2 linked regions of the Neurospora crassa OR74A genome follow. The main gene of each other region encodes a partner of the protein of the gene in region 2 in a complex. Links are inferred from orthologs where the notes say so. Each region holds a gene or a part of one and is shown on either strand. Other genes may lie near its edges.

Region 1 (6,117 bases), on a different chromosome or scaffold from region 2:
AACTAAGTGGAAAGCTCACCACCACTTACCTCTCTACCTACCTCCCTATTTTACCTACCACCAACATATAAACCGTCCTCAAAACAACAACAAAGCTAACCACCCCCGATCACACACCTAGACATGCCTCCCAACCCCACCTCCTCCTCCTCAGCCGCGGCTGCTCCCGCTCCCGCCACAACCACAACCCCCGCCTTCTCCCCCTCCGACGTAACCGTCATCTTCGTCCTCGGCGGCCCCGGCGCCGGCAAAGGCACCCAATGCGCCCGTCTCGTGCGCGACTACGGCTTCACCCACCTCTCGGCCGGCGACCTACTCCGCGCCGAACAAGACCGCCCGGGTTCCCAATACGGCCAGCTTATCCGGGACTGCATCAAGAACGGCGCCATCGTCCCCATGGAAGTCACCGTGGCCCTTCTCGAGAACGCCATGCGCGACACTCTGGTCTCTGGCAAAACCAAGACAGGCAGGTTCCTGATTGATGGCTTCCCGCGCAAGATGGACCAAGCTGTCAAGTTCGAAGAGGTCGTTTGCCCTGCGAAAATGGTGTTGTTCTATGATTGCCCGGAACAAGAAATGGAGAAGAGACTGCTGGAAAGAGGCAAGACGAGCGGGCGTGAAGATGATAATGCCGAGAGTATCAGGAAGCGGTTCAGGACGTTTGTGGAGACGAGCATGCCGGTTGTGGATCACTATGAGAGGGAAGGAAAGGTGGTCAAGGTGGATTCGACGCCGGGGCCGGAGAAGGTGTATGAGGAGACGAGAAAGCAGCTGAGGAGGGTGTTTGGGGATAAGTTTTAGTTAGTGTAGGGGGGGGGGGGGGATTGACTTGACTTGTCTTACTCCGGGGATGGGATGGGGGGTTGAGGTAAACTTGGTTTCTAGGTACTAATTCTGAGATGGGGTTGGCCGTTCCATTAGATAAAAACTTTTAAAATACTATACACTACTACAGATTTATTGGAAAGGGACGGAGCGATGGAGTCGCGGAGGCGGTTCGTGGATGGATGGGGATGGTTTTCTCCCGTTTGGAAATTGAACTTGCTCTGTCTTTTTCCAGATGTCGAGATGGCTTGGTATTGCGTTTATACTATTCATCGTTGGGAAGCCTGAGCATGATGATTCATTGTTCCCTTTGCTGCTGGTGGTCATAGACCTTGTCTCAAAAAGCATTGATATTACGCTTCCGTTGCCTTGTATATCCTGGGTATCATGATCTATACTCCACCTTTCTGGATTTGCCCTCACGCATCATATCATCCATCACTGATGTATAAATGGAGAGAGAAAACCTGATGATTGCTGGATATCTAAAGCTGCCATTCCTCGGAATGATACAACAACAACAAAAATGCAAATCCGCCAAAAAGTGTAGCAGCTCTACCTTGAAAATAGTGTTCCGTATTTTTTTGGGGCTCACAACTCCTTGATAGATAACAACAACAACCCGTTTTGATGTAGAATTCCTTTCCCATTCGAATGAACTGAACTGAACTGATGACCGAGCGGGATGATACAGGGGCAAGACATCGCTCTTTTTTCTTTTTGAAAGGTCCCCCCATATCTCTATGCTACTAACAACAACAACCAATTATTGCAGCAAAACATCCTGTTGGCAACCCCCCTTCAGTCATCATCATCCGTGCGTTGCCTCGTCTGTCTGGCACCGCCGGTACGTCCTCCCCGGTTGCCGCCGCGCTGCTCCGACTCGCCAAGACCGGCGTTGGCCAGCTTGCGCTCGAGCTCCTGCTGCTCACGCTCACGCTGGGCCTCGACATCGGTCTGGGCCTTGCGCACGACGCCGACGAGCCTATCGACGACCGTCTTGAACTGGTCGACGCGGGTGCCGAGCTCGCGCCACTGCTTCTCGCCAAAGACGCGGTAGGTGGTGCGGTGAACCAAGAACACCTTTTGCTTCTGTGACAGGCGGCCCTCGACCAGCTTGGAGCGGATCACGTCAATGGTCCACATCTCGACGTCCTCGTCGGGGATTTGGAGGGCCTTGGCGATGCTGGCGTAGGGGATCTCGCGGTTCGGGGTGCTGGCGGCGAGCGACGCAAAGGTGAGCAGGCGCATCTTGCGCTGCAGCTTCTCGTGGTCGAGCTTCTCGTTCTCGATCCATCCCTGGTGCTCGTCCCTAAAGTCGTTGTAGTCCTCGAGGTCCTGCTCGGTGAAGATGTCGAGGAGCTGCGAGTAGACGGGGTGCGAGTCGCTCAGGGCGTGGACCGAGGGGAGCGAGCGCAGGTCGTTGAAGTCGAAGCGGGTGGGCGACGAGATGGCCATGCGGAGGGCGCGGAGGGAGAGCTTCTGGGCCTCGTCGGAGGCGACCTCGTCCTGGTTGTCGCGGTCGAAAGTGGCCAGAGCCTTGAGGAGGTAGAAGTAGGACTCCCTGCAGACCAAAGGTTAGCATGAAGCCGTAAAGGTGCACAATGCATGATGCTATAAAAGGTAAAATACTCACTCCTGATCACCGCCGTCGTTGGCGGCATCGGAAACCTCGACGTAGAGCTTGCGCTGGCTCTCCGAGTCGGACTTCCATTCCTGGAGCCAGCCCTCGACGTTCTTTAACCTGGGCTTGAGGAGGTCGAACTGGCTGTTTTGCCTGATGAAGCGGACGATCTGCATAAAGACATTGAAGCGCAGCGGGTTGGACTTGTCGAGGAGGTTGAAGATGGTGGTGAGCGCATTGGAGGCCAGGGTGAAGCCGTGGGTGGGAGACGAGGTGATGGGCTTGAGAAGGTTGGCGCACAGGGTGGGCAGGTACTTCTTGGGCTCCTCGGACTGGAGGACGAGGTGGATGAGGAGGTTGTAGGCGGGGGTGAAGTCCTTCTCGGGGGCGGCGTTGAGGGAGTGGGAGGCCTTGACGATGAGGTCAAGGGCATCCTCGCGCTTGTCCTGCTCGAGGAGAGGCTGGACCTGCTCGCCGACCTGGACGAAGTCGGCCATCTCCTGCGCCAGCTCGGCGAAGGTGCCGTCGACGAAGATCAACTGGGGGGTAGCCATGTTGATGGGTGTTGACGGTGTGTGTGTGTGTGCGTGTGTGGTTGTTTGACGACGGGGCTATCGAACTATTCCCACTTGGACCTCAAGGCTGGAGTGAGGTCGGGTTGAGGCGAGACACACGGCGGGACGGAGTCAGGGACGGACGGGGGACACGGCGACGGGGAAAATATGGCCGGGGACAATCTGATAGTATGTCCTGGTGCTAAAGGTCGACACTGGCCGGAAACGATACGGATATCCTGTCAGACGTGGGAGGGAGGGGCGGGCCCCAAAGGAAGTTTTCTTAGTGGCAGGGCTCCGCTCTTTCTTTTTCTTTGCACAGTTCCTGGGCCTCGACTCGCTGAGTGGTGTGGTGTCCCTCTCTCATCCCATGGACGACAGAGACCTGACCGGACCCTCGACCCAATTTCTCAAAGCAAAAAAATGCCCCGCATTCCAATGCCAAGCCCACCGCCTATTTTTGCCCTGTGCTGAAGAAGAGCTGTTCTGTGTGCTCCAGCCAGTCACGTGCAGGAGCTGTGTCGATGGTCAGGGTTATTGCAGTCATCTGCTTGTGACATAGAAAACCCTGACCCATGGGGTGGTCCGTCCCAGCGAGGTCTTTGACAATGTCAAGCTCCCGGGCTTCAGTCCCTTTTCCTTTGCTTGTCACCGTGCGCTTGACATTGTCCCCAGCTTCTCCAAATCCGATCTTCTTAAAGTCACATTCCCATCCATGATTCTCTTACATGGATATCAACAAACGCACCTGATGAATAATCGAAGGATTCGAACTTGACAAATCCATTATCCAAGTCGAGATTTCTGACCACTCGAACAATATGATTTCCTATATGATGTGATGCACTCGATCGAGGTTCGCAGTTACTTGCCGTGGGCTGTGGAGATATCAACCACGGGAATGACGACACACCTTGATTGGAGTATTCGGCTGCATCAAAACAAAACTATTGAACTCGCTACATCATCGAATATTTTCTTTTCGACTTTTCACCATCGTATCCATCAGGACAAAAATGGGACTCTAGCCAGTTGCAACAGTCACCTTTGTAAGCTAGGTCACCTAAAACACAAACAGAAGCGGGAAGCAAAGAGGGGGTCACGGGGCATCCGAATCGGATATCCAGGCAGACACTTAAAAGTGTGGTGGTGACCCGGGCAACGGCCACCTTCCATTACAGCCTGAGGATATTGTATCAGCTCCTTCCCTTTTCCACTGACGTGATGGGAGTCTCAAAATAACAAATGACCGGCACGCCTGACAGCCCAGAAGGATGGTGAAGAGTCACAATGAACCCACAATAGATTCCCGAGAAAAAGAGTGATGACCAACCAGCCCTACGCTACTATGTATGCAATGCACATGGTGACATTCAACCAGGGCTGAGGGTGTGCACCGCCGAAAGAAAGTCAACAAGTGTACCTAGCGTACAGAGACAGCAACAGTAAACAAAGCCCCGTGGGGGTATAACTCAGATTGTATATACACGTGGATATTTCATAGAGCACTGAATAAAATCAATGTTGTCAACTGGATGCTGTTTCCCTTTCTGTGGATTTGTTGACTTAGACGCGCCAAAAGAGTGGAGTTATGGCGAGGCGCGGCGTGATTTCCAAGCGAAAAAGTGGAAGAAAGTGAGGAAAAGGGAAGCTTCCACTTGGGGCGCGGTCATCAAGGCCTAGGTTGTAAGGTAATGTACACTGTGAGTCCCTGACGTTGTATGGTTGCTTTCTGGTGGAGGCCCCCCCCCCCCCCAATACCTTAGCACTGCCCGCGGCCTATCCCAGTCCCTCGCGAACTGCACAGTAGCATCATTCAGTTCACTCAGTCAGTCATTCTCCCCAGCCCGGCGCCGTCACCACCACCACCACCACCACCCCATCTTTTTCCACTCTACTCTACATACAACCTTCCTGGAACACACCATCCCGCCACTTGATCATTTGAGATCCTCTCTTTTGAATCGAATCCTCAGCTCCGGCATTGACTGACCAACACACCACTCGACTCGTTGCCCTACAATCCCAGCAGCCATGGCTCCCCGAGCTGAAGGCAGCAGCACTCTTAAGAGAGCTCGCGTACGTCCATCCACTCCCCCATCCCATATGTCATGTCATGCTATGTCATGACTACATTATACCTCGAGCTTTTGATTAGGTAGTCCATGGCGCATTGCGTCACCACCAAGCATGCTCCGTCGACTAATATGCGCTTTACTTCAGGGTTCTACCGACGACAACGATTCCTTCAAGAAACCCCGTCGCTCCGAGCGCCTCTCCTCCCAGCGCACCGGCGACAGCCCCGAACCCAAGCAGAAGACGCCCCTCAAGACCACCAAACAATTACCCTCTCCAGTCACCCACGACTCCGATGAATTCCCACAGGATTCCAAAGAGCCCACTGCCACCCCTCCAGCCGGCCGTCCCAGCCAGCTGTCGCAAATCAGCCCTCGCCCAGAAAACCAACATTCTCAGTCGCAAGCGTCCCAGCTCAATGACACTCAAGCCTTTAGCCAGTTGCCCGATCTCGACAAGGCATTGTCGGACGAGGTCGAGGATGAAGTCAAGGAGGGAGTTTGGGGCTACCTGTTTCCCTTGGATCCTAGGTACGGCGGCCGCTGTGTCGTCTTGAGGAGGAGGGCCGCTTGTCCCCTTCCAGATACCGTCTCACAGGCGGTTGGCTCCAAGAGAGGTAAACGCGGCCAGAAGGCGCTGATCAAGGAGGAGCACGATTTGGACAAGACCAAGGTCAAGGGACTTCCATCCGGTGGCTATCTGATCGGCCGACACCCGGAATGCGGTTGGTTCACCTGTACAATCCCAGCTAAACGCCACCATGCTAACATGACATTAGACATCCAAATAGAGGACCCCATCGTTTCGAACCGGCACTGCATCATCTTCACAGAGAACAAGGGCAACGATACCATCGCCGTATTAGAGGATCTGTCGAGTAACGGGACGTTCGTCAACGAGGCAATAGTGGGTCGCAACCGAAGAAGAGAGCTCCAAGAGCTAGATGAGATCGCCGTTCTTGGCACAGCCCGCTTCATCTTCCGATACCCCAAAAGTCGACACACCAGCGCTTTCAGGCAGCAGTACACCATGCTGCAG
Region 2 (6,164 bases):
CTCGCGCAGTTTTCCCCCATGATATCATTTGAAATCGGCATATCTAAGTGTACATAACACTCTTTCTGTCTGCTTCACATTCTTGCTTGGCACCATTACTTGACCGCAATAGGTACATGATGATAATGGAGCGAAGTTACCCAGTACTAAACCGTCTTACGATTCATGTGCGGCACCCGTTCCTGTAGGAAGAGAACAGACTTTTCACAAGGGCTTCTCCGTGGTCCTCTCCATCTCTCTCCGCGTCATGCTTGACACACACAGATCTTCAGCTTGCCTTATGACCAAGATCAGGCTGCACTCTCAAGTCATACAGATGTTTTCGCTCGGAGCGGCTGGCTCTACAGAGAGTCGCTTTTGTTCGAACTGCCTCATTCACAACTTGACAGTCGTTGACTGTGACATATATCGTATATTTAAACATTTCTACTTGGCTGAGACCCAAGATCTCACTATTATCATGCTGGCATGTAACCTCATCAGATGCTGTCTTGTGTATGGGCTAAGCTGGGGGAACTTCGGTCTGGTAATGAAGCCTTTCAACATTGTTATTATCCCGAAATTTCGGTCTCTTGAGCTTACCTAGAGTAATGATAAAGCGGCCCAATGCAAATCATAGCGCCTCATCAAACGTCGGTTGGATGTATCCCGTGTGGCTCACCCAGAATAATGATCACGATTTTCCAACAGGCTCATCCTATACACAGGTACTACGTAAGTTAGTAGCCGTGGAACTAAGTCTTGTTCATACGAGAGATAGAGCAAACCTTTTCATCAAATACTACTCGTTTCGGGTTGGCTGTAAGAATACTCAGGTTGACATGGTGTACATTATACACAGGTTCAGACAATTTCCATATGATAAACTAACACATCATGAAGAAAATATCAAACGCGCAATTTTGAGTGAAGCTATGCCCGAACCAAAAACACAAATTAAACCGAGAGAACCTATGATTCTAGACTAAACTTCGCTGGGTCTAACCATGGGGCAACACATTCAAGGGGATAGCACCATTAGAAGACCTGGGGAATTGCTTTTTAGTCACACACCAAAGCCCAATGCAATAGCAAAACGAAAACCACCAATTTCCCTATTCCACAGAGCTTTAACCACGGACCGCATTACCCAGAGCACCACCAGTGAACTGTGTACCACCGGCCTGCCGTTGAGGGTTGCCGCCCGTCCTCGCGCCACCTCTGCCACCACGCTGGCCACCACCACGCTGGCCACCGCCACGGTTGTCCTTCCTGGAGAAGGCGTTGGCGGAGCCCTGTGTCTTCTGCTCGAGCGTACGCTCGTTGGTCTCAATAAGGGAGCTGGCCTTGTCGGAGAGAGTGAGAGCCAAGCTCTGGAGACGGCTGAGCTCAACACCCTTGCGGAAGATGACGGTCTCGGTGACCTGGTCAAGAGCAGCCGCGAGCTCCTCGTGGCTGATCATCTTGCTGACGACAGCAGAGACCTTGCGAGAGTCGAGCTCAAACATGGAGCTGAGGGTAGCAATGGCGAGAGTGTCGTAGAAAGGAGCATAGGTGAAGAGGTAGGTACGGAGACCCTCCTCCTGGATCTGCTTGGCGAGCATGGTCTTGATACCCTCGGTGTTCGGCATCAAGTCCCAGATCTTGATGCTGTGAATGAAGTCGGTGGCCTTCTTCCACTCACCAGCAGCAAGGGCCTTGGAGGCCTGCATGACGTGATCCCTGGTGTTCTCCGGAGGCCCGGTAAAGATCTGGCGTTCATGGTACTCGAGCATACGGCGGTAGGTCTTGCTGATGATCCTCTTCTTGACATCGGGCGAAGAACCGGTTTGGGCGAGCAGAGGAATCTCGAGGAGCATGCTGCAGGTAAGGTAGACGCACTCAAGGAGCTCGAGGTTGATGTGCATGTGGAAGGGAAGCTGGCGCTGCTTCTCGAGGCGCTCCTGCTCAGGGGTGACCTGGCTGTAACGCTGGATCATGACGCCCTGAGCAAGAAGCTCCTTTTGACGGCCACTGCCGCAGATCTCCTGGAGGGTGTTCTGGGCGTCGTAGACGAGACCCTTGCGGAAAGCGCAAAGGCCGACCTGAACGAGGGTGCGGTTGTAGAGAATCTGGGTGGCGATGTCGAAGTTGGCGATAGTCTCCTGAAGATGGGAAGTGAGCATCAGGTCGCGAGACTTGTAGTACTCATCGTGCAGAGCCAAGAAGTAGATCTGGCAAAGCATGGCACGGGCGCGGATGATGCCCTCGCTGTTCTCGAACAGGTAGTTAGAAAGGATGTTGATGAGCTTGCCAGCATCGCCGGATTGGCTGCGGGGGGTAATTTCAGAATCGGCCTCAGCAGAAACCTGCTTCCACGCGTTCTCCTCGAGGATCTTGACGACTTGGGCGGGCTGAAAGAAGATGATTAGCAAAGACGGCTGAGTATTCCAGCATTAGCTCTATACATACCTTGTAGTAAACATGGTCCAGACGCCTCTGGATGATGCGGTTCAAGCTCTCCTGGGGAACCTCGAGGGAAGCATCCTTGCGGAGGTGCTCGTAGTAAAGAAGACCACGGAAGATGGTGTTGTAAAGAGAGCCCTCATCGGTTAGCCTGTCGATGTACTCAGAGGTGTGAGGATCGATGGCTTGGAGGGAGCGGGTGAGCTCGTCATCGAGACGCTCAATGAGCGAGACAACGCTGCCGGGAACCTTGAGGTACTTCTCACCCTCGGGGATGGTGGGGAGCTTGTCATCATCATCCCACTCCTCAGCGCCCTCAACAACAACATGGTCCTTCTCCTTCTCGAGGATCTCCAAGAGAGAGGCAAGGTCACGCTCAGCGGCCTTCCACTGGTCCAAAGGCATCTGGGCGGCGCCACCAGCACCAAGATCGAAGCGGGCAGAAATAAGGGTCTGGAGGACACGGATCTTCTGGTAAGGGGTAATGGGGACGACCTTGTTGAGGGTCTCCATAACCTTGATCTGCTCGAGGCGGTCGGTGTTCTTCTTGCCGCGAGACTCGATAATGGCGCGGAGGTGCTTGAGGATGCTCTCGGGGGTGTACTGAACAACCTTGCCGCGCGAATCGACCGTAGAGAAGCCCTTGTCGTCCTCTTCCTGCTGCTCAGCACTGACGACGGGAGCCTCGAACCGGACCTTGGAAACAACCTTGGGCGCGGCAACCTCATCATCCGACTCCATGAAAGCGTCCGCATCCTTCCTGTAGGCATCGATCTGGGTCTGGTACTCCTTATTGTTCTTGCGGATGCGCTGCTTGACGGCGTTGAGACCACGGGCATTTGTCGCGTTCATCTTCTTGGGAGTGACCTTTTGCTTGGCGAGAGTCTCGTTCATGAAGTCCTCAAGATCGGCAATGGCCTTGATGTAGGACTTGGGCGCCTTGCTGCCATCTTGGAGCTTGACGACCTGACGGTTGAGCTTGTCGAATTCTAAAGCGGGGAGGGGAGTAAGTATCGGTGCAGGACATATCGAGGGTGTATGCATGCATGAAAGATATACGAACCGTTGGCGATAAGACTCCAGTCGTTGATCTTCTGGCCGTTCTGGATCTGGCTGATGGTGGACTCGAGTTCGTCGAAGCGCTTGTCCTTGGCGCTCTTGACCTTGGTGGTGGCTTCATCGTCGCTCTGCTCTTCCTCCTCCTCCTCGGACTCGTCGTCGCTCTGCAAGAAACGGGAGGCACCCTTCTTCTTGGTTCCTTCTTCCTCGTCGCTGCTGGACTCCTCGTCGCTCTCCTCCTCGTCAGACTCCTCCTCAGACGAAGACTCGTCCTCGGCCTGAACCTTCTCCTCCTCCTCCTCCGAAGTGTAGACCTCCTCCTCCTCGGAGCTGCTGTCGGTGGAGCTGTCGTCACCGCCGCGGAAGAAACGAGACATGGTTGCGGTCTCTTTCGATAGACTCGGAATAAATATGCGGGTTCCGGGGGTATGGGCGCGATGCAGAAGTCCGGGTTACCGGTATGGGTACTTGGAGTGGTGGACGGAAGTGGTGATGGTCCGGATGGTTGGCAAAGCAAAACCCGGCTGCGGCGAGGCGGACAGAGGGGTCAAAGAATTAATTTTCACTGAAAGGCCGTTTTGGTGGGGGCGATTTGGGGCTTAGCGAATCGAGCGGAGCTGTTTGGGCCTCGAGCGCTGTAATGATTGGGTATGACTTAATCCGAGCAAGGGGTGTGGGGGGAGAGGATACTTGCTCCGCGGGGGGGAGGCTGAACTTATGAGCTGAATGTACCTGCTTCCGCTTGGAGATCGCAGGACGGGATTCCTAGAAGATGAAGATAAGGTCTGAACCTTGCAGATGTTCGCATGAGGGATCTGTCAGAGGAACGGGTTTTTGTGTATACTTTGGCGAGCGGAGCGAGGGAACAATATCAAGCATTGCTTTGTCAGGCCTTCACTATGAGATTCAACACCTGTCGTCTGGGTACTTGGGCGCAAACAGCCAGCCAGCTGATGCCCCACCTTCAATGTATCAGCTACCTGAACTGATAATGTATCACTATACTCGGTTACATGCATCTGAGACGTGCTGTGAGCTTGTCAAGCCAGATCTACCACGTAACGGGGATTGCGTATCGAAAGTTACAGTACGTAACAGGAGACGTTTCGCCACGAAGTCGAGAAGTGACAGCCCAGCCTGCCCAGTCGCTGCAGGCAACCAACCCCAGGCCCTCTTTCACTAACTGGAGTGGCGGGGACGCTACCGGGCTGCAGCTGCCAACAAGCACCTGCACAGCGAAGAATCCCGCTGCCAGGTTTCCCGTTTTGCGCGCCAGGACCTGGACCGCCCGCCCTGACCTCTGAACTTTATCGACCGCCCACGCAGCTGTCGCGAGGCTGTTCAAGTTTTTCGTAACGAGGCCAACCTGCCAACGTCAACGCCAGCATCCTGGCGCCACCAAACCACACTTTCACGAATACAACATCCACCTCTCCATTCTCAGCTTGATCGACCATCGCCGCGATTTGGTGCGAGGTCGACCTACGCCCATTTCCATCTAAAACCAATGGGAATCTAATATTTGCCAGTCCTTTTTTCTCTTCCTCAGCGAGACAGGCCTTGGAACGACGCACGCGGACTGCAAACCGCCATCGCGCGGACAGGCGACTTCACGGTATCCAGCCTTCTATCCATCTCGTCGCCAACGCCGACTGGTACACGCTTCTGACGAAGACGATTACAACGAAACAACCACATAAACGTCAACAAAGCTTCATCAAGCAGAAATCGAAAAAATGTCCTATCCGCCACCACCACCTCCTCCCCCCGGCTGGGGCGCTCCTCCGCCGCCATCAGCACCTCCGCCGCCGCCGCCTCCGTCCTCTCTCCCACCTCCTCCTGCCCTCCCAGCACCGCCGCCGCCTGGGTTCTTTCCACCAACCGACCCTCATGTTGCCAAGTTCGCCCAGAAGAAGAAGGAATGGCTTCGCATGCAGAGAAATCGCTTCGGCGAGAAGAGGAAGGGCGGATTTGTTGAGACGGAAAAGGCCGACATGCCACCAGAGCACTTGCGGAAGATCGTCAAGGATATTGGGGATGTTTCGCAGAAAAAGTACACCAGTGACAAGCGCAGCTATCTTGGGGCGCTCAAGTTCATGCCCCATGCTGTGCTGAAGCTGCTCGAGAACATGCCCATGCCTTGGGAGGCTGCCAGAGAGGTCAAGGTTCTCTATCACGTCAACGGCTGTCTGACCCTTGTGAATGAGATCCCGAGAGTCATTGAGCCCGTCTTCTTTGCACAGTGGGCCAGTATGTGGACGGTAATGCGCAAGGAAAAGAGCGACCGCCGGCTATTCAAGCGCATGCGATTTCCACCTTTCGACGACGAAGAACCGCCCCTGTCCTGGTCCGAGAACATCGAGGACGTCGAGCCACTTGAACCCATTCAGATGGAGTTGGATGAGGACGAAGAAGCAGCAATCTATGAGTGGTTCTATGACCACAAGCCGCTTCTCGACACGCCCCACGTCAACGGGCCCAGTTACAAGAAGTGGAATCTCACCCTGCCGCAAATGGCGAGTTTATACCGTCTAAGCCGACCGTTGGTGTCTGAGGTTGTCGACAAGAACTACTACTACCTCTTTGAGCTCAAGAGTTTCCTCACAGCAAAGGCCCTGAATGCGGCTTTACCAGGCGGGCCTCGCTTCGAGCCACTTTACAAGGACATTGACCCCAATGAT

Evidence for each region.
Region 1: NCU07831 (region 2) and NCU02813 share a complex: the UniProt entries of both Schizosaccharomyces pombe proteins name them as parts of the eukaryotic translation initiation factor 3 (eIF-3) complex. The link is inferred for Neurospora crassa OR74A from reciprocal best matches to the Schizosaccharomyces pombe genes tif303 and tif313.

Annotation. Positions count from the first base shown.
Region 1 is NC_026501.1:9,033,025-9,039,141, reverse strand, and holds NCU02813 (eukaryotic translation initiation factor 3 subunit M), read right to left. Parts: upstream 3,460-6,117; 5' UTR 3,004-3,459; coding exon 2,462-3,003; intron 2,390-2,461; coding exon 1,627-2,389; 3' UTR 1,172-1,626; downstream 1-1,171. Other genes in the region: NCU02812 (uridylate kinase), read left to right, coding at 122-801; prd-4 (serine/threonine-protein kinase chk2), read left to right, coding at 5,038-5,082, 5,227-5,803, 5,858-6,117. UniProt on the Schizosaccharomyces pombe protein: Component of the eukaryotic translation initiation factor 3 (eIF-3) complex, which is involved in protein synthesis of a specialized repertoire of mRNAs and, together with other initiation factors, stimulates binding of mRNA and methionyl-tRNAi to the 40S ribosome.
Region 2 is NC_026503.1:1,002,349-1,008,512, forward strand, and holds NCU07831 (eukaryotic translation initiation factor 3), read right to left. Parts: upstream 4,168-6,164; 5' UTR 3,861-4,167; coding exon 3,488-3,860; intron 3,414-3,487; coding exon 2,431-3,413; intron 2,373-2,430; coding exon 1,110-2,372; 3' UTR 677-1,109; downstream 1-676. Other genes in the region: NCU07832 (pre-mRNA processing splicing factor 8), read left to right, coding at 5,220-6,164. UniProt on the Schizosaccharomyces pombe protein: Component of the eukaryotic translation initiation factor 3 (eIF-3) complex, which is involved in protein synthesis of a specialized repertoire of mRNAs and, together with other initiation factors, stimulates binding of mRNA and methionyl-tRNAi to the 40S ribosome.